Linked DNA regions of Lepisosteus oculatus. The protein of the gene in region 1 interacts with the protein of each later gene in a pairwise test. Links are inferred from orthologs where the notes say so. Each region holds a gene or a part of one and is shown in the gene's direction. Other genes may lie near its edges. The genes, in order: ubiquitin-conjugating enzyme E2 U, trim32 and rnf144b.

What was found.
Region 2: the proteins of ubiquitin-conjugating enzyme E2 U (region 1) and trim32 interact in binary tests that used the Homo sapiens proteins (3 or more experiments, as listed by UniProt). The link is inferred for Lepisosteus oculatus from reciprocal best matches to the Homo sapiens genes UBE2U and TRIM32.
Region 3: the proteins of ubiquitin-conjugating enzyme E2 U (region 1) and rnf144b interact in a two-hybrid assay, tested with the Homo sapiens proteins (2 studies listed by BioGRID and IntAct). The link is inferred for Lepisosteus oculatus from reciprocal best matches to the Homo sapiens genes UBE2U and RNF144B.

Annotation. Positions count from the first base shown.
Region 1 is NC_090704.1:14,113,246-14,120,491, reverse strand, and holds the start of ubiquitin-conjugating enzyme E2 U, read left to right. Parts: upstream 1-4,173; 5' UTR 4,174-4,226; intron 4,227-4,639; 5' UTR 4,640-4,645; coding exon 4,646-4,711; intron 4,712-5,719; coding exon 5,720-5,801; intron 5,802-6,120; coding exon 6,121-6,213; intron 6,214-6,315; coding exon 6,316-6,413; intron 6,414-7,246. Other genes in the region: inactive tyrosine-protein kinase transmembrane receptor ROR1, read left to right, coding at 182-1,609. UniProt on the Homo sapiens protein: Catalyzes the covalent attachment of ubiquitin to other proteins.
Region 2 is NC_090719.1:11,226,028-11,233,374, reverse strand, and holds the start of trim32 (E3 ubiquitin-protein ligase TRIM32), read left to right. Parts: upstream 1-4,250; 5' UTR 4,251-4,756; intron 4,757-6,286; 5' UTR 6,287-6,306; coding exon 6,307-7,347. UniProt on the Homo sapiens protein: E3 ubiquitin ligase that plays a role in various biological processes including neural stem cell differentiation, innate immunity, inflammatory resonse and autophagy.
Region 3 is NC_090705.1:10,624,197-10,631,662, reverse strand, and holds the start of rnf144b (E3 ubiquitin-protein ligase RNF144B), read left to right. Parts: upstream 1-4,361; 5' UTR 4,362-4,530; intron 4,531-7,466. Other genes in the region: telethonin, read right to left, coding at 686-1,082, 2,381-2,517.

The DNA of each region.
Region 1 (7,246 bases):
TTACGTATGCTTTTCATTACAAATCCTGCAGCTAAAAAAAAATTTTATTTCCAAAATGGAAGCAGTGATAGCTGTATAATAATAAGAATTATTATTATTAGTATTATTATGATAAGTGGTATCTGTGTTTGTTTCTGTGCTCGCTGGTCACACCGCTCTGTTCTTCTCTCTCTTCCTTTAGAGCAAAGCCAAGGAGTTGCCCCTGTCAGCCGTACGCTTCATGGAGGAGCTTGGCGAGTGTACCTTTGGGAAGATCTACAAGGGACACCTCTACCTACCCGGTATGGACCACGCCCAGCTGGTCGCCATTAAGACCCTGAAGGACTATTCCAACCCCCAGCTGTGGGGCGAGTTCCAGCAGGAGGCTTCCCTCATGTCAGAGCTTCACCACCACAACATGGTGTGCCTCCTGGGTGTGGTGACGCAGGAGCAGCCCATTTGCATGCTCTTTGAGTTCTTGAACCAGGGCGACCTGCACGAGTTCCTCATCATGCGTTCCCCCCACTCGGACGTGGGCTGCAGCAGCGACGAAGACGGCACTGTCAGGTCCAGCCTAGACCACGGGGACTTCCTGCACGTGGCCATCCAGATCGCGGCAGGCATGGAGTACCTGGCCAGCCACTTCTTTGTCCACAAAGACCTGGCCGCTCGCAACATCCTGGTCGGGGAGCAGCTCCAAGTCAAGATCTCCGACCTTGGCCTGTCACGGGAAATCTATGCCTCGGATTATTACAGAGTCCAGCCCAAGTCTCTCTTGCCCATCCGGTGGATGCCACCGGAGGCCATTGTGTATGGGAAGTTTTCCACGGACTCGGACATTTGGTCCTTCGGTGTCGTTCTGTGGGAGATATTCAGCTTTGGCCTGCAGCCCTATTATGGCTTCAGCAACCAGGAAGTGATCGAGATGGTGAGGAAACGGCAGCTGCTACCCTGCCCAGAGGACTGCCCCCCCAGGATGTATGGCCTGATGACAGAATGCTGGCAGGAGAACCCCTCAAGGAGGCCACGGTTCAAGGACATCCACACCCGGATGAGAACCTGGGAGGGCATCTCCAGCCACGCCAGCTCCACCACGCCCTCCGGTGGAAACGCCACAACGCAGACCACCTCCCTGAGCGCCAGCCCAGTGAGCAACCTCAGCAATCCCCGCTACGCCAACTACATTCACATTCCGCAGGGGATACCACAGGGTCAGATTGCAGGATTCATGACGGCCCAGATGCCTCAGAATCAGAGATTCATCCCGGTAAACGGGTACCCCATTCCAACTGGCTATGCCGCCTTTCCCGCTGCCCATTTCCAGCCCCAGGGCCCACCGCGGGTTATCCAGCATTGTCCACCCCCCAAGAGCCGTTCCCCCAGCAGCGCCAGTGGCTCCACCAGCACGGGTCATGTGACAAGCGTGCCCTCCACAGGGTCCAATCATGACGCAAACACGCCCTTGCTGGCCCACTGTATGACCCTTTCCAATCTCCCTAGTGGGGCTGCTGTGCCTGTATTTGGACACATGAATCAAAAGCCTATGCCAATAGACCCTACGCAGGCTACTTTGTTATCGGACTCAAATAGACACATGTACAGCGAATCTGTAATTACTGCAGATCTGTAAACAGTCTCTTTATTTTTTTAATTCGTATTATTATTTTAACTTTCATGTGTAAATATATAAACCTGAATGACATGTAAAGATTTATATTCAGAAATGTTTTATAATGAAAGACTTTTTTTTTTCATAAAGCCTGTCTAATAGTGTCCTCGCAGACATCACCAGCGCCCTTCACAGTTTCGCTGTGAATAAACAACACCAGGTGCTAGCTTTTTGCTTGAAACTGTCTCCTGAACAAGACTATCAGCTGTTACAGCCTAAACGTTTCACAGTTTCACATCTTTAAAAGCGATTTCGTTGTGAAAAACTAACTAGAAAATCATAGTGGTATTTCCCCAGTACCACTGGTCTTACTGTTAGGTCTTTTTGTGTCACCTGATCAAATTCCTGTTATTCTTTCTGCATCAATTTGTATATTTCACACATTTTCACTGTTGCAACTGTTGCAGGAATTCTTAAAAGACAACTGCAAGGTTGTTGCCAAAAAGCATACAAGAGAAAACAATTTTGATCACTAATATTGATCCAATAGAGATTCCAGTGCCTTTTCTAATCTTGAGATTTGAATAGTCAGCTCACAGACCATTTTACTGGAAGTGGCGGTTCACATATTTAACAAAATCTACGCAAATTCTGGAACACATATTGTTGTGTTGCGGGAAACACACCAACGTAATGATTTTGTTTTAAATCTTTACCTTTACCTTAATGAGGTAAAGTCCTCATAACTGTTATGTCAATAAGCTATTCCTCTCTTTCTTTCACTACCAGCCTCTTTTTCTCAGCTATGCAACATATAGGCATAATACTGGCAGTCTTGTCTTTCAATTGGTGCTTAATGATTACTGTTAATGAAGAAAAGTGGGTCTAACAGTTCTGTATAAAAAGTGTGATTCATTAGAATTTCATAGTCTATAATATAATGAATGTTCTTTGTCAATAGCTGTATTGCCTTAAGCAGAATACAGGGAGATTGCTGAAGTATTGAACTATATTTAGGTTAAATCCTTTATACGTTTATTTTCAAAGGATTTACATAAGCAGCTGTATTTCATTCTTTGAATATATTTGTTGCTATGCAACTATTTAACACAAAAAACACCCAAAATCCATTTGTATAGAAGACAATCACTTGTACAGTGCAGTTCATCAGGGTACAATATTAAACTGAAGAAAAGAACATTAAAAACCTGCTGTGGTCAACAAGCTGTCTCTGGGATTTGTTTTTTTACAGTGATTACAAGTTACTTCAATGGGATAAAACATGTTTAAAAAGTCCAGGGCAGTCGATCCAGTTTGTTAGAAATTCTTCTCTTTGAAGTTTTTGAAAACAGTTTTTACCTACCTAGGTATCTGCAGTTTTATACAGGTATCCTCTGCTTTTTAATAGAAATGTACTCCAGTTAAAACCACTTTTAACAGAAGACTGTGAATCTAGTGCCAGATGTTTTGTGCCTTTGCAAAATGTTTTAATTATACTGTATTTTTAGAAACAGTCTTTTGTAGTATCTTATAGAATTCAGTTTGCTGATACTTACAAAAAGGTTTACAACATCCAGATTGTATTGAACAAGAGGCCTTTTTTGTATTTGTGAGATCTTTGCACAATTTTTTTTGTACGGCAAAAAAATAAATAAATAACATCGCTGTTGTGTTTTTCCTGTTATTTTTGGCCATTAATACTGTTTGCAGGCTTCCAGATCATATCGATCATTGTCATTTCTCAGGTGAGAAATTTATTGCAGTACACACTTCAGGTGAGAAGTTGATTGTAGTGCATATAGAGGGGTCATGTTTATGCACATAGAAATATTACAGGATTGAAGAAGGTGCCATACAGATATTTTGCCACCCCAAAACACACGAGCATGAAAATATCTGTAGAGGTTTGAATGCAGCTGTGTCAGCATGCATTGGCTGTGAAGGAAAAAATAAAGTTTCATTTCGTGCTGAAAAGCTGACAGAAGAAAAACTTCATATATTTTAATATTTTTTTTCTGCTGTTGAGCCTTCTTTAGGTGTGAGTCACAGTTAATTCTATAATTTCTCATTTCTCCACATGGTGTCATAATGGTTACCATTCATGAACTGGGTGCTGTACTCCAGTGGAGGAAGTGGGTCCATTCATACATGTGAGGTGCACTGGGTTACTATGTGATGCATACAGACATCCATCCATTTTCTAATGGCTTTATCCCATTCAGGGTCACGGCAAGCAACGGGTGCAGGGCAGACAAACAGACACAAACATACACACACTCACACCAGGGACAATTTTCCCCAGAGGTCAGTTATCTTACCAGGATGTCTTTGGACTGTGAAAGAGAACCAGAAAACACCAGGGCTAACCATCGTGCCACAGTTCCACCCATAATTTCTATTTTTACTTAGATCACATACTACATTTTAACCACAATATTTTAATCTGTAATATTTAGTTTATTTGTTTTTTAATAAGGTATGTTAAATTGCAATACATGATAACAATAAGGGGGAGGATTTTTTTATTTTTCATCTTCTGTCCACTAGATGGTAGCAAATAACTCCTTTAGTGGCTGCTTGTTGCTTGACAACAGGTCGTCGCAAACACGACGTCATTCCTTTATCAGGAACAGAAAAGGTAAGTAGTTTTAACGAAAGCTGTAAAAGACATTCCCAACTCAGTCATTTTTTTTCAGCGGTTGTTTTTTCTTGGCATGGTCTTTGTGATGTCTTGGCATAAATCGAATTTGGAAAAATATGATTTTACAAACACCATGTGGTATCAACCTAAATACAGTTACAATACGTTGTTGTGCCTATTATATCATATTATATACAGAGATATATATCGTGAAATTACGATATTAAGTGGAAAAACGTTTTTATTTTATTTTAAATCCTTTTTAATTGTCTTGTACAATATATTTATATGTGCATATACAGTATATACAGAGATAAAACTGCGATATGGCTTTGGTTTTTTGTAGCTTTGTAACTTCGCTTTTTTAATCTATATTATACCTAATTTAATATATACCTTTATGAACTCAGGGTGACATGCACTCCAGATCTTATTTACTGTTGGAGAGAGAATATCTTGAGCAGCAGAAAGCCAATCTTTTTGTAAGTAGTATTTCTCTTACTTGTCCTGACTTGCATTGTTTATTCAACGAAGGTTAAAATATACGTGTGAATGTAGTTTTTATATTACAGTTTTAAAAAGGGAAGGGAAAGTGCAGATCACTTAATAGTTCCTTAGATCTATTTCCTTTTGAGGTCGGGTTGGATTTCTGTTAGTTCACCTCAAACCTTAAGGTTTCGGAGATTTGCCTGGAAATCAGATGTCGTCTTGTTTCCACCCATTGTGCTATGTTCTTTCTAAATTAGATGTGGCTCCAGATTTACTCCCGTACAAAATTAATTCACGGCCACTGAACTAAAAAGAAGCTTCCATGCTGGTCGTCTCAGTCTCAACAGTAATGTAAATGCAATGTAAAGCATTAAGGAGAACTAATGAATGGGAAACCCCCCTCCTACATTACCTGTGTCTGGAGCGTTTGCATAAATTAAAGTTCCATGAAGTTGCCACATAGCCGCATATTCCTAAATAAGGGTTAAGGTAACTCCTCCAAACCTTGAGCGCACACACACACACAGAGGGACAATGTCGACACACCACTACGATTGATATTGTAAAAAGAAACTGATTTGAGCTACTGTATTTAATCTCTCTTTCGGCAAAATGCAGGACAGGGAAATTGAATTGCTAATTGAAGGATAACCAGATTATTGAGTCATTAGGTGTGAATCAGCGTTCTAAACTCCATTGTTCATTGTTCATGAGCTGATGTTTGTGAATTAAGAATATTCAGTGATACCTGATGTGAATTTTATGATATCGTCTGTGTGCCATTAGGTTGCCCATGGTTAGGTTAATAAAGTGGTTTGATATTGCCCTAATTTATCTCAAACTGATTTTTACCTATCCCTTTTCTGTTCGTTTATAGGTTTATGAATAAAAATGTTCTGTAGACCACTTGACAAATGGAAAAAAAAATATTCTGTTCTGGTCTGTTTTGGGTCAAGTTAGCCATTTCATTAAAGGATGTGCATTATGTGTGTTTAATGCAGGGCATAGTAGCAGAACCAGTCAATGACAACTTGCTTGAATGGGTAGCTAAAGTAAGGGGGCTCAAGGATTCTCTATGGGAAGGTGAGGTACAGTGCAACTTCACTTTTGTATTATATGGCAGAATCTGTAGTTTTTACTTTGAGCAAAATTCAGGATATCATTAAAACAGCAAGCCTTGAGAATGCAGGAGATGTTTAGTTATAGTGTGATATTAATACTTTGTCTACAAACATTAAAATACTAATGCATAAAAATGCCCTGGCATAGATTAAAATTAAGTGTGGCAAGTGTGATGAAAAATCAAGCTATGAAAGAAAAAAAAAAACATACTTCAATGTGACTATCGTACTTTAATATTGTTGAAAACATTTATTAATGGAAAACATTTTTGCAACACAAGGTGGCACAATCCAGCTGTCCATACAGTACAGCGAAGACTACAACACTGTCCCACCTGTGGTGAGATTCAGCACTATCCCATTCCATCCCAACGGTATGCAACAAACCTATTTTACTGCTGTGCTTTTTTTCTTTTGGGGCCAGGAGAGGTGTTTTTTTACCTATATAAAAATGCCTGTTACTTTCTCATGAAAAGTGAACAAGGACACTGGCCGGCCATGCATTAGCTTCCTGGATAATAAAGACGAGTGGGACTCAAGATTTTCACTCACCAGCATTTTGCTTGCAGTTCAGGTATGTAATATATTAACAGTTGCAACAAAGCCACAAAGAGAGCATTTTTCTAACTTGCATTTGCATAATACCTTGAACCATTTAATCAAGAGGTGCTCAACTCAAGTCCTGTAGTGTGGAGGCTACTCTGAAATCAAAGGCGATGAAAAGCTGTCAACCTGTTGTAGTTTAGCCAATAAATAATTCACCTGGAATGAAAACCTACAGACTTGTGTAACTGTCATTTAACCCTGTTACGCATCACTAGTAAAACCAGAAAGAAAGAGAGCTGATTTTAAATGTTGGGCCATTTATGCTGTTTGACCTGTTGCTCCATGTTTCAGAAATCCTCATCTGTTTGAAGATCTTCATGTCCTCATGATTCCCTTGGAGAGGCTTAAGCAGTGCCTCCCAATTACTTCCCTTAAGACTTCCACTTACTTAAGATAAGATCACTTTATTGGCCATATTCAATTTCTTGTATTAGGAATTTGACTTTTCACATACCCCAACTTGCTCTCCATGAAACACACGGACAGGGAGAGAAGCTTGGGGTCAGAGCGCAGGGTCAGCCATTTATACGGTGCCCCTGGAGCAGTTGGGGTTAAGGGCCTTGCGCAGGGGCACAACGGAGTAGGATTCCTCTGCCGGCCGTGGGCTACGAACCAGCAACCTTCCAGCCACAGGGCCACTGCACCGCCCATATAAAAAAAAAGGAATTGAGTGGCAAAGAAAGGGGACCCACAATCACCCCTAAATCTTCTCACATTACTTAATTAAACCATAATTGTAACCCTTTCCAGTTATTCAGCCACTTAAAAGTTAGATATTTATTTATATCATGTAATTGTTTA
Region 2 (7,347 bases), on another chromosome or scaffold:
ATTTGGCAGAAACCACATTTTGCAAAATAGCTCAGAAAAGCTCAGGTTAAGTTGTGTGGGAATGCTTCAGTGTTGAGTCAAGGCTTATCAGGACTAAAAGGGAAACTCTGATCTTTTTGAAATGGAGCATATTAAAAGGCATCTGAAATGAAACTTGCATCGGAGGTTCTTACATAGTGCTAGCCTGAGCCTGACGGAAAAACACGATGTTCTGTTCTAAATATGGAAGCAATAAAAATAAATGGCTTCATCCAGAAAACCCTCATATTTCATAAGTTTTCTTCATTATTCCTGCTTGTAACAAAAATTAAATCCAATATCCATTTGCTTGGGAATGAGGCTCCCACATAGCTGAAATAAATCCAAAATGTAATGTTTGACCAAGAATGACACGAGATATTTAGTACTAAACATCGTTTCAATGTTTCTTCTGCAGTAGGCACTGTTTTGGGAGGGGTAGAGAGGTGTAGGGGCAGGTGCTTTTAAGGGATTTTTTAAAACCTTCACTTTTGTCTAAAATAATTTAAAAAAATGTACCTGGGGTAGAACTAGCTCTTCTGCTTGAGAAAAAGACTAATGTATCTACTGTATGTTGACACTTCAGTTTCATTTTTTAGATAATGTGGGCAATACAAATGGGAAACATAATGTTAGGATATATAATATAATTATATATAGAAAGTGTAGAATTTAAAGTTCAATTATGTTAAAAATTGCACAATATTGATCACTATGTTACCAAAATAATCTTGCTGCTCTGGAATAAGTATACAGTATAGAAGAGAGACCGGTTACATTCTCAGGCTCGAAGAGAGCAATAAGGAATGCCCTCTTCTGATATGCTAAAAACTTTTTTTTTTCAGTTTCGGATGGACAAAGGACACAAGTGGATTCATCTGAACGCTTCAAAATCCTCAAAAACACTGACAAAGTCAACACTTTGGGCTTCTTCAACAGTAAAAATATGAACCAAAGGGAAAACATTAGAAACTATGGGGATGTACTTTTGCACAAACATTGTTGTAGTAGTACAGAATAAACTACCCAGTAATTCTGTCAAATCTAATACCTTGGCTTCTTTAAAGAAGAGGCTGGATGAGATCTTTGGATTACTTAGCTAATATTGACCAAACTATGCATATTGTATCTTTCTAGCAAGGTCTAGCTGTAAACCCATCTTGAAAAGCATACAGATAGAAAGACCTTTATAATATCTCTCTTCCTTTATATACTATATGTTATTCTTGGTGTATCTATACATTTTGGAGATTCATAATTTTGTATAATTTTTACCAGAAAGATTTTTTTTTCTGTTAATATCTGAAATGTAAATCCAAGTAGGAAATCCCATTAGGTCTTTATAAATGACTCTTGACGTCTACAGTCTGTAGTAAACCTCATTTTGCAACTCTGGAATGTGCTCGGAATCAGTGGTCGCCAAAATTGTGTTTTGCCCTTGACGATGCCCTCTACATTTCTGCTTTCACTTTCAAATGACGCATATAGAAATACTGCTCGCCCACCTCCAAAGTTTCTGTTAGCCCTGAAAGAGTTTTGAGTACCTTATAAATGGGATTACATTTCATTTAGCATACAGTTTGTACTTTTCTTTGAGAATACTCTTTCATTTTCCATTTTAAAAAGTGGCATTTAATGTGAATCAAACAGAATGAGGTACAGTAATATTCATAATTCAACTGAAACAGCTTTATTTCCTAATAGTAACTCTTGGTATGAAAAAAAATTTTTCCTATTTTCACAGCTGTTGACCTCTGAGGGCACAGTCCAGCTGAATTTTACCAAAACAGTAGGACTGTATGCAATGATCCATTAACTCCAGGGCAAACAGATTATTGAAAAAAAAGATAATGACCAAGGAGTAGGATATTTGTCTGGGTTACAGCCCAGCAAATCCAACAAAGCCAAGTAGGTCAATTTCAGAAAGTCTGTCTAATTTCATAACTTAATTTGTCTGAAACATTAAAACATTTCAGCTGGAGCATAAACTTCAGGATGTTTTTGAATCCTCTCCACCAATCGAGAAGCAGGGATTCACTACTCTACTCTATAGGCTACTCACACATGCTGACCAGCACAACTTTCTGTGAAAGAGAGAAAAAGCAAAGTAAAAAACGCAGAACACAGATTGTAATCAGTTAGCTATAATCCCGACGTGTATGGTAAGTGTAGCCTAGCACTGGCTGGGGTAAACACAAGCCAGATACCCTACAAGGAAAATGAGTAAACTGATAAGCGAGATATTTGGTAAGGTCAAGTTAAAAGGGAATGGGATTTTATTATTTTCAATAATTTCAATAAATATTGAGCATGTTTTTGTTTTTACATAAACCTCCAATTAAACCAAGCCCTGTTTCTCCCCAATAAAGCTTGTGCCAGCATTGAATTGGGCACCATCTGCTTATGACTGATAAATGCCCTTTCCACAGCTATCCTGGCTTATTCATGCTCAGGAGCCCATGCTTCTTCTAAAGGGCATCTGGCAAGACTGAAGGAGAGACGCAGCTCTCACAGACTCCTCTGCAATCTCCCGGGCCCCCTACAGGTCACAGATTGTGCAAGTGTCACAACCCCGAAGAAATAAGGCACTATATCTCGGGGGGAAAAGCAGCACAAATGCTGCTACTTTCAATGGCACTGACCAGCAAACCATCATTATTTGTGCTGTTTGCGGTGGTGTCAAGTTAACAGAGCTGTTACAGTCAGCTAATCGAGTATACTGGACTAGAACTAAAGATGTCTGGACTGTAGGTCTCAGGATGCAATCTAAGCAGTCATTTTTATAATAAAGATTAATAATACATTTAATTTGATATGGTACTTTTTTTAGTACATTTTACTGGCTGCGTTACTCAGAAGCTACACATGCTGTCATTTTAAATACACTGTTTTCGCTCAGATGAACTCATCTGGATGATATGGTATTCAGTAATTCTCATGAGGAATTCATGAGCAGGATCTACACCAATGGACAACAAATCCCATACACAGCCTTTGTCACCTAACCCAAAGCATTTTTTCAACTTCATTAGACATAAATCTTGTATTATAACCTGAAAGTACACACTGCTACATGGGAATGATCAGTTTGATGACTGAATACAATACAATCACGTGCTCAAAACGCACCAGTTCCACAAAAACAAGGCAAATACACTAAATAATTCCTTTTAACACGCATACAAATCAATGCAAAAATGTGTATACTACCAATAGGTCCCACATTACAATTGTACAGCTTGCCGTTATGTCTAAAAAGCTACAAATCCGCGATTTGCTATGTTAAGTACTCCTATCAATTCGTTCCAACAGACGCTAATATCTCAATCTCTTATTACGGCTGCAAGACTGTATGCTACCAAAATATGTGCTCCTACCGCCATCTAGTGACAACACGTTATATTGGCTTTAAAATACCTAAAAACGTACTGTACTTTGAATTCAAAATACACGGGGCAACCTCAAAATGTCAATGATACAGATTAAAGACAAATCGCGAAGGGCAATATTTCGTCCATTTTTTTTTTATTCCAAAGGGAATCTGATGTGTTACAGCATTATGTAAAAGGCTCACTGCATATCATTGGCTTCCCACCATTGCTTAATTTCCTTCAACGGACGAATTACTTTTCTCTTAAACCCATGCATTTACCTTCAGAATACCTGTACGTGTGTGTCCTGTCATTCGTTGCGTCGAGTCTGTCCTCAAACTCTTCCCACAAACAAAACAGGTGTCATGGCTAAATTCCACTCTGGACCTTCTGTCTGAGGTTTTCCTTAATTTAATTAATTACAGCTGGGGGGAGGCCATTCTGTGTTCCTACAGTTCAACCCGTTGGGTAAGAAAGTGCTTCCTATCCTCGGAAATACACTTACATGCTACAGTACGTATTTTACTTCTCGGTTTTTCACCGTTCGTTCTGAAAAGTCCACCGGGTTGAGTTTGTTAACGCCTTTGGGGATTTTGAACACCTATAAGATCCATTTGTATTTTTTTTTTTTTGTGGGACTGCAGAATGTAGCACAAATGAGCCAGGTGGTTGCTGCACTTCAGTGGTGAATAAAATCGGTCTCATCCTACCTATGAAGTATTTCAGGATTCTTTGGGATGAAAAGCGTTATTCTGTACTAATGCAAATACAATGAATACGTTAAGTCGTCACCTCATCAAGAAAAAAAGACTTGCAAAACTCTGAAACTCTCTCTTTTGTTTTCCTTTTCCAGCTGAGCTACAAGTTACTTAAACACCAACCTGAACCAGCTGCACCTGTTTACGAGCTGGAAGAGGTCGAGAACGGTCTGACACTGGAAAATGTCCCTTGTGAATTTAAGGTAAGTAATCGAGAACTCAGCTAGAACAAAAAAAAAACAGACAACCGAAGGATGTGCTCTGGACATATTTATATATGAAACATCTAAAAGCAGTGTCAAGTAAATTCTCGGTGTGGGGGAAAAACAGAAAGTCTGGGACCCGAGGAATTCCTCACAAGGAACTTCAAATCCCAGGAAGTCGCACTGTGACTGCTGTTGACAATTGCTCTCTCCTGCTTCATTGATGCTTGACGCCGCCAATCGTCTTGAGAAACGGGTCGCACTGCGTACGGAGAGGCCAATGAAATACCTCTGAAGGAGGGAATAAAGTTTCAGGAGACGTCACAGCCCGAGCCGCAGTCTTGCCTGGCACAACCGGGAGCGGGGTTTTCGGCCTGGGGATCTGACATTGGCACGGAAAGTGCAGGTAAGAGCACAACCAGCTCCCCAGCTGTGTAGCATCTCCATTTCGTTAATGCAACCCGCTTTGCGGAAGCAGCCGGGGTATGTGTGCTTTCTGTGCTGTAAAGATGATACTGCCGTCAGAGGCCTCCTAAGCAAGGTGTCGCTTACTGCTTCTTGGCACAGAAGGCACACGATCCCAGTTACTGTACGATTAAGTCGAAACATCGTTTCATGCAAATACCTCGCTAGTTTATCGGTAAATTAACACCGGCGTGGATTCGCCGCTGTTTGCACTAGAATTGCTGTTTTGTCGCTAGTGGACGTCATGGTTTTATTTGCACCATCAACACCTTTGGTTTCGTATTTATCTTACTTTGTTTTGGTTTTTTTTTTGCTTGCGACTACCCCTTTCTACAAATCCGTGCACTATCCCTAAATCCTCTTCTTAAATGACAATATTAGACGTTAATATACTTTAAAACGGAATGCTCCAGAATTGCTTAAAATATCCGCAGCTTTTGAGCGATTCATCCCGCCTATTGCGTCTTTCTTTAAAGACATTTAACTGATATAGCCATTGATATGCTTTTTCGTTGGTGCAGTCGCTGTACCCTCATTATCACAAAATCATTCTGGTTGGCATTTTTCAGCAGCGTAATTTAAAGGGGCACTGCAGGCAGTCAGGGTGGTGCAGACAGTCACTAGACTAAGCCCCTACCCTCTTGCTAATATAGCTGCAGTCCAGCCTAGAAGAGTCTGAAGTATTCAGGTTTACGGCCTTTTGATTAAAGTGCTGTCCACTGCAGTAGTCGCACCGCGCAAATACAGACTGGTCTGGACCAAGGTACGAAACATAAGAAAGGATATGAAGGAGGAGGCAATTCGGTACATGTAGCCCGTTTAGTTGTTGGTAGTTGCTATCATTCCTGCAGTCTCCACTTTGCATGAGCACTAGGTACTTTGGAATTTTAAAAAAGCTGAGAAAGTATGGGGCTTGAGAGCGATTTTTACAATGTAAGTCAGTTCTTTGAGCCTGAATTTACCCATCTCATTTTGAATAGTGGTTGATTTAAGTATTTAAAATCTGCGAAGGCAGAGCAGAATCAACCTTGCAGGTTTCTTCAGAATCTACAGAGGCTATGAGCGGGGAGCTATTGTATGTGCAGGTGCGTTTAAGACAGAATGGGGAATCATTCTTTTTACAAAGGGATGTGGGAATGTGGAACAAGCTGCTCAAGCAAACAATCTGGTTTTTTCTTTTGCAAGAAAAGGCTGTAGGAAATCTTTGGATAATTTAGCTACAGAAAAACGAAACAAGCAAAATGGGCCTCCTCTTGTGTAAACCATGCTTAATGCTACTCTTAGGAACATTACAAAACGCATCAGTTCATTATACAGAAGTGCATCGTAGTCTCCTTCCAAGTTTAAAAGATACAAATGCATTACCAAAACAGGACGATTTATTCCACAGTGCAGTGCATTTATTATTGAGTTCCATCAGATCACAGACGGGGAAATTATGCTTTATCTCATTTGCTCCTCTCCTCGCCAGGTGGAATTGGCTACAGGATCATGGCCTCGGCTGCCACTTTGGACCCAGACGTGGTGAGAGAGGTCTTGGAGTGCCCCATCTGCCTGGAGACCTTCAACCGGGAGCAGCTGCGCCCCAAACTCCTGCAGTGCGGCCACACGGTTTGCAGGCTCTGCCTGGAGAAGCTGCTGGCGAGCACCATCAACGGGGTGCGCTGCCCCTTCTGCAGCAAAGTCTCCCGCATGAGCAGCATCTCCCAGCTGGCGGACAACTTGACCGTGCTGAAAATCATCGACTGCGCCAGCTCCGGCTCGGCGACCAGCCTGATGTGCAAAGGCTGCAAGAACCGGCTGCCCAGGCAGTACTGCAAGGACTGCGGCCTGGTGCTCTGCGATGCCTGTAAAGCAGAAGGGCACCAGCACCAAGGGCACATAGTCCTGACTGTCCGCTCAGCTGCAGAGCAGCGGAGGAAAGAGGTGGGCGCCAAGCTCGCCATCTTGCGGGAGACGATGGGGAATATCCAGAAGAAAAAGGCCATGATCGACGGCATCTCGAAGTCCCTGCGGCTGAAATACAAGGCCGTGCAGCAGGAGTACGCCAAAGCGGAGCTCAGGCTCCAGGAGGAGCTGACGAAGTCCCGTAAGGCCTTCGCCTCCTCGCTGAGCGAAATCGAAAAGCTCAACACCCAGATCCTGGAGGAGCACACCTACCTGCTGAACATCGCCGAGGTCCAGGTGGTGTCCCGCTGCGACTATCTCACGATGAAGATCAAGCAGGCTGACATCGCTCTGCTGGAGGAGGCCGGCGACGACGAGGAGCTGGACTTGAAAAGCAACCTGCCCGCGCTTTTGAAGCTGCAGGATCCGGAGCTGGCGAAGGTCGAACGTTCGGAGCCTCTGGACGTGGGGCAGGTGGTGAGCAAGCAGTGTACCGTCGACACAGACGAAGGCTCCCATGACATAGCTGCGCTGTCGCTGGATGTGTACCGTGACGTCGACATGGCGACGGAGGAGGCTGCCTGTGCGTCGCCTAGCATCAAACCCAAGCCAGTGGAAGCGGCGGCTGCTGGATCCCACCTGTGT
Region 3 (7,466 bases), on another chromosome or scaffold:
AAAACATGATCACATTTTTTGTCCCATGTTAAGACATTAAGACATGTTAAGACATTATACACTAGATATTATTAGAATGAGTTCTGTTCTCTGTTGTGTCCGTGTTCTTATCGTGTGAGTTTGTGTTTTTATCTACTTTATGTTGTTATTTTGCTCTTTAGTTCACCCAGAAGTAAAAGCTTTTAAACACATTTCCCGATGCAAAAATGTGAATTGTGGTGGAAATGTACAAGTTAATGTTACAAGTGAGTGTCGCAGCACTGCAAGGAGCTTTGAGAAATATTTTCCGAATCTATTTATACTGCGACAGTTATGTAAGCAGAAACATTATACAACTGAGTTAAGTTAGAGAATATGTTTGTCATGTAAATGCACTCTTGTAAACTTTTATTCCATGCTGAAAAGAAAAGAAAGGAAACAACGTTTCGGGTGTGAGCACTTCGGCTCACACCCAAAGAGTGATTCCTTTCTTCTCTTTTCAGCATGAAATAAACCTTTACTTGTTCCTTTGCAGCCTACGCATGCTGACGCAGCTCCCTACTTGAACTACTCTTGTAAACATGTTCGCTAAGATCTACAGAATCAATACATCTCACTAGCACGTGCTTTTTAACCCTTTTATCCTTTACCTCCATGACTCCAGGGTGAAAGTTTATTTTAGTGTTTTATTTTTACAGTTAAACCCTTAGCTTCTCTGCACAGCCTGCACATTTTGAGGAGAAATTAGATTTGAGGCTCTAAAGTCTAACTGCGTAGGCTGGATCATTTTGGGCATGTCTTTCTTAATCTCAGAAATCTCTCTTCGTTTGGTACTGAGGCCGCTCGACAACGCCTTCTCGAACTCCATGATGGCTTTGAGTTCTTCTGGGGTTGGAGTGCGGTGGTGCTCTTTCTTAGCCTTGCTGGGCACAAACATGGGAACAGGGAGGACGTTCTTGTAGGGAAGCTGGTATTCCTTCATTTTCTCCCCCAGTATGCCCAACTTTATCTTCTGGTTGGGGGATCTCTGCACCAGAAAATGAGCCACTTGCTTCTTCTCATAGCTCTCCTTTCGCGAAGTGTTTTGCTCGAACAGCGTTGTCCTGAGAGTGGGTTACAACAGTTTGTTAGAAGCACGTAAAAAAAAAAAATTAGCTTGTTTTATTTGAGCTCATCCATCCATTTTCGAAACCGCTCCATCCACTATAGGGTCACTGAGGAGCTGGAGCCTATCCCAGCAAGCAACGGGAGTAAGGCAGGATACACCCTGGACAGGATTCCAGTCCATCACAGGCTGCACACACACTGACACCAGGAATTTCGTTTTCCCCAGAAACCAATCAACCTACCAGTATGTGTTTGGACTGCGGGAGGAAACTAGAGCACCCAGCAAAAACCGCTGCAAATGGGGAGAACATACAAACTCCATGCAGATAGCACCCCAGGTCCAGAATCGAACCCAGGGCCCCAGCACTGCAAGGCAACATTGTTAACCACTGCGCCATCATGCAGTCCTTGTTTGAGCCTGTTATGGGCAAAATGTATTGAATTTAGGGGTTATGGGTGAAATACAAATGTTACATTGAAGTCCTGAAAATGATAATAATAATGATAATGTTTCTTTATTAGCCCTATACAATTTCTTGCTTTAGGAATTAATCTTTTCACATACCCCAGCTTGTTCTCCATGAGACACAGACCGGGAGAGAAGCTTGAAGTCAGAGCGCAGGGTCAGCCATTGTACGGCGCCCCTGGAGCAGTTAGGGTTAAGGGCCTAGCTCAGGGGCCCAACGGAGTAGGATTCCTCTGCCGGCTGTGGGATTTGAACCGGCAACCTTCCAGCCACAGGCACAGATCCTTAGCCACAGAGCCACTGCTCCGCCCAATGACATACTGATTGCGATTCCTGTGGTGGTCTAAGGTTGTTAAGTTAGCAGGATATATGTAAGCTTACAGTACGAGCTGGAGTGTGAGTGTGTAGCACTGTTACTGTACAAGGCTCTGAACAACTATATGAGCTATGTAAAAAAAACAACTATCCAAAGGAAACAGCATTTTTCAACTGCAGATCATTTCAGCTTTGATGTTAGCGATCTGATACATAACTCCAATTTTCTTTTCTTATTTTAACTTAGAACTGTCTTACAAACAAGTTGGGATTCATTGTTTTTTTTGTCTGTGTCACCATCATCATTATCACCCATCTCTCTGTTCTTTATTTCACTCACAGTTCCTAACAGTTCTTAATCAGGTTTTAAAAAAGCTTCTTTTGTAACAAAATACAAACTTTAAGGTCACGATAATATGCAAACACAAAAGAGCTCCCCAGGTACCCTGATACACATATTTTCTACTCATTACATATTAAACCTTTTTGGCTAGGGTTAGGTCTGGTACATACTTTTCCTGAGGTCTTGTTTCCATATCCAGGTCCAGCCATGTTGATTGATAAAATTCCTTCTTCCTGACATTGTCTTCCTTCACATCACAATAGGCGTTGAAGAGATAAGGGATATCCTTTGCAGCATGGGAAGGCATGTTGGGAAAGCAGGCTTCTCAGATGTTATGGATAACTGTTTTATGCAGGCTGCGTGTTTGCTTCTGTTAAATGACAGTTTTCTCGGCACGGTCACGGGCCTCTTAAATAATGTTTGGTCTCTATTTTAGTTGCAGTGCATCACTGCAAATGTGTTCATCATGTCAGGTGCCAAAATATCTTGTGTGACCAGTGGGAAAAGAGACTGACTAATCCCACATCCATGTAATGATATTCATTACACAGAAGAGGCCAGAGGTCACGTGTGCCACTGACTGACACATGATGCCTTTTTATTTACTGCCACTGAACACAGCTTTAAATATTTCAGAAATGTTAATGGTAAACAATGAAGGAAAAGTGTAGGCATATTTTCTGTGCTTGTATCTACTACAACATTGGTCATGAAGGTGTAACAAACATAATCCTTTTGTAGGACTGGAAGAAAGATCATCGAGCCCATTTAGCTCATTTGGTTGCTGGTAGCTAATTGATTTGTGGATCTCATCCTGGCATATCCTGAAATATGCAAGGGTACTGGCTTCAACAGTATGGCTGTTACTTGTTTCAGACACCCACAATCTTTGGTGTAAGATGATGTATGTTACAAGGTGTACAGATGAAAAGAAAACATAAACCAAGTTTACTAAATGCAGCCACACTATTCAGATCAAACAGAAGGAAAAGCTGGTGTATAAAAATAGACCTTTGTCCACGATGAGAGAACATTACAATATTTGAGAACAGCAAGAGAACGAATGGATGTTCTCAAAGTTTTGAGTGAGGAATGGATAGCACACCAGAATTAATTGGCCAAGTTTTTGTGGTAAGTGAAAAATCCGTAACCAGATAAGCACGAGATAAACCAATTAAGGGGTTTGAATACGAGTGGGAGTTGGGCAGCATTTTCCCACTGAATGATCTTATTTCATTTTAACCTGATGATCAAAATACCCTTGTCTATGGTTTTGTACTCTGCATTTTTTCTGTTCCTGTTATTCAAAGCTGATAATGCCTTTGACTGGGCTGGCTATTCCAGGACAAAAAGGTTACAACTGTACAATTACAATTATGGTTTCCTTATTCATTTTTGTATACATATGCTCCTTTAAGACCTTTAATAGACAGAAAGGCTGGAGCCAGAATGAGGGTTAAGCAGATGAAGAATTTGAAGAGAAGTGTCTATTGGTTTTGTCAGCTACTCTATTTTCACGTGTGAAAAACTAACATGAAAATCTTCTAAGAAGTGGTCTACAGTATCTAAAAAAGACAAAAAAGAAACACAATATGTGCTATATTGCCAGGATAAGTCTAATTGCGGTCAAGAGATTTCTATAATTCTCCCACTGTATGCTAAATAAATTTAACAAATCATTCCGAACAGGAGACTCTCTAAATATTCAAAATATTACAATATTAATACTTTTAAGCTTTATTTCCTAAGGTGCTCCTGAAAAAATGCAAAAGCAAATCCTTTGTCAGTCCAATTTCAAACAATTAAAGACTTTTTAAAAATACATTTAACTGCATTACTTCAAGAACGGGCATCTGAGCAACACTTAAAATACTCACCACCATGTTTTTTTTTGTTAAAGTCAGCTTTAAGAAGGCCTTGCATATGTTTTGCTTTCTTAGTATGAAATTTAAAAATTAAGATGCAACATTAGGTGTTTGGGGTGGGGGGGAATCATGTGTAACAGACTACAGTACACACAAAGGAAGAGCTTGATTGAGTAGTAAAGAGAGATTACAAATGTATCTCTTTAAGGCCAAAGAATGCAATGTCAGGCCAGGAAATTCTTTTGCATCATTCAACACACTTGGGTGTCATATTACAGACAGTCAAGGCCAAATCAACAGAGCTTCTGAAATGGACACCCTGTCAATTGCTGAAGCTTTTAACAACCTCTTTTTTCCTGACCAGTGAATAATGTGATGTGGAAGATATGTTACACACAGCGACGGCCATTCTGGGGGACTGTTCATCAGACTGAAAGCCAATCTTCATTCCTGAAGTAAGAAAGGACATTTTTCTTGTTGAAAAGAATGTTATGAACCAGTTTTAAAAGAAAGGAGTGTTCCTTTTAGTTTTACGGTAACAGACTTTTCTCACCTAGAGCCTGTCAAAGGAATCTTAGAATCCTATCTGTGCCCTTTTACTTACTGTATGCAGTGACCTGTTTACAAAACCAGTTATACTGTGGTGACCGGGTTGTGAAGGGCTGTGTTAGGTCTCTGGATTCTTAAATAGAAGTGTTGGGTTCCCACATAGACACTGATTCCAGTGATTTACCCCCAGTTAATCAGTCCATCCCGCTGTGTATTTGGTTAAACAGTATTGCACGGGGTAACTCCGTCACGGACCATGAAGGCGTGAATTGAATACTGCCTGCTTAATGCTACAAAAACTGGAATAATCTACGCCTGTAGGCCCAGGTATGGGCTTTACCTTTTAAAGCAGAAGTGTGTTAGTACAAAAGGATTACAGAGATCAGTTGCAAGTAAATAGGTCTGGGTGTTTTGAATGAGTGGCTATACTTTCTAGAGCCAAGCACAGAGCTGAAATTGATGTGGTCCATGGTCTGTGACACCACCTTTTAGCTTTGGTCTGCCAAGAATAGGCTGCAGTTTGGCAAGTTTATCAATCTCAACCAGCCAGCTGTAAATTCAGCTTGGTTGCAGTGTATGGGTCCATAGCAGACTGATAATCTAGTCACTGTATTAATTTGAATTTAAGACTTTTGATATATACCCTGTCACTGTGCCACCTGTGCCACTGCTTGACAAATGCAATCTAATGCTTCAGGCATTTTGCCATATTCACTTTTCCGTGCAAACACATCAGTACTCCCCGCGGAGAATGGGTAAGCTGTCTCCTGCCCTGGATATGGTTTCATTACATTTTGCAGCAGTGAAGCAGAACATGAGTAAGCCAAGCTTTGGCAGTGAATCCACTCTGAATGGTGTCCAACAAGAACAGCCCGTCCTAATGATTTCAGTAACTTATAAAAGTCCTTCAAAAGTGGTGCATGTTTAATAAGCGGGACACATAATCAAGGCTGTTTTCACAAAGCAAGAAAGTAATAGTGCTAATAACCATGTCAGAGGTTTCAAACTTTTTCTTCCGTAGATGCGAGTAACTCTTCATACAAGCAGATATATATTAGTGACTATATTTCTTTTACTTCTTGTGTTTTCTGATCCCATTCATTTTCTGTTGGTTCCCTGAAGACAGTTATTTCCTATTCTATGTTTTCCTAGGAAAAAAGCTCATTCTCTTACTTTGGAAAAGCAAAATGAAAATAAGTGATTTAAGAAAATACAAAAGTTAATTACACAAGAATACTTACAAGAATAGAATCTGGGAGCTGAACACCCTATTTGAAATACAGTAAATACTGTAATCAGATGTACATAACTATTTTATGGAGATGCAATAATAACATTTTGCTAGATCTTATTATTTTCTAGTAATACTAATGCTTATGAAAACACCCGAAACACTTTTTAAAATAAAATCGAAACCAAACAAAATCACTGCAAGTCAACACATAGGCTGTCTTCCTTTAGGCTGGCTCAGAGCTGTGGGGCTCTGAAACAGAAACACTTTGTACACATCCAGGAAAACATACCCAGACTCTGTGTCTCCATTCCCCTCAGCACACCCCACAGAGCGCTTGTAATTAACACCAGAAATAGAAGTCTTGTGTCCCAGAAGATGCACTGGGGAAAAGATGAGCATGGCCCAGGCTTGAGCCTTGTGGGACCTCCTAAGCTTGACAGGTGACAATGAAGTGAGCAAGCATCATCTAACTGGACTTCAGATGAATCCCTAAGAAACAGGCATCTGATTTCTTCAAAACACCAGTTGACAGCTTGAGGCAGAGCAAAGTAGGCTCATTGCAGGGCTTTATACCAGCTCCTCTGCTCTTTGAACTGAGGACAATCCCAGCGCACTCTCAGATAGCTGATTGCTAGCACCTTGTTATTCACAAGCAAATCTGAGCAGTTTGCACATTTTTCATTGTACATCCCTGACTAAAATCTCTACACTAATTTCAGTTGAACCTTTTATTCCTGGCAGTTACTGTAACATCCAGCAGAATATATACAGCAGAAGGCTTCAGATTTGCACCAAACTGCAAGATGGGAAATATGGCCTCTAGTCATTTGAAACCCTACTGTGGCATCTGATGTCTCGATGTTCTGTTAGACAGCTCTGGTGGTTGCATAATCTACATTTCCCTTGCTAATGATTTGTCTGACAGTACTTGATTTGGTCATGGCACCACTGTAGCTCTGAGGTACAGCTGTATTGAGTGTTTTTGATTCCTCCTAAAGCAGCAGTCATAACAGTGGCTCAAAAGCTGCTGAAATGATTTGCACGTACAGTAGGCGCCTTGCCTTTTATTTTCAAAATGCATTCTCAGTTCTCTCTCGGATAAGGGCAACAGACTGCGGAAGAAGAGAACTGCTGCTCTGTGTGAAATGTGTACTTTGCTTCAGCATTGCCGATTTCATCAGGATACTGGGAAAAGCATTAATTAATTTTTATTCATTCACTTTTACATGATGCATTTTATAAATTGTGGGGAAAATAGCTGGACTCTGTTGCTTTGCTTTTGCCCAAGCAATTGAGCAACCTCTTTTTTCCTGAGCTGTGGGGAAAACTGTTTACTGACTTTCTGCTTTAAATATTAGTTTTAGAAAGTGTGGGTCATACTTCTATGTAATCAAGTAATTACATTACTTCTGCATTTGTTATTGTGTGAAGGGGGTGTTGTAAATGTGCAGCACTGTGAAATGTCCAGGCAATGGCCCATTCACCTTTCAGTTAGCTCAAGAGTGGGTTTCCTCCAGCTCCTCACAGTCCAGACACATGCTGCTAGGTCATTTGGCTTCTGGGAAAACTGGTGTCCCTGGTGTGATCGTCTGCGTGTCTGTCTGCCCT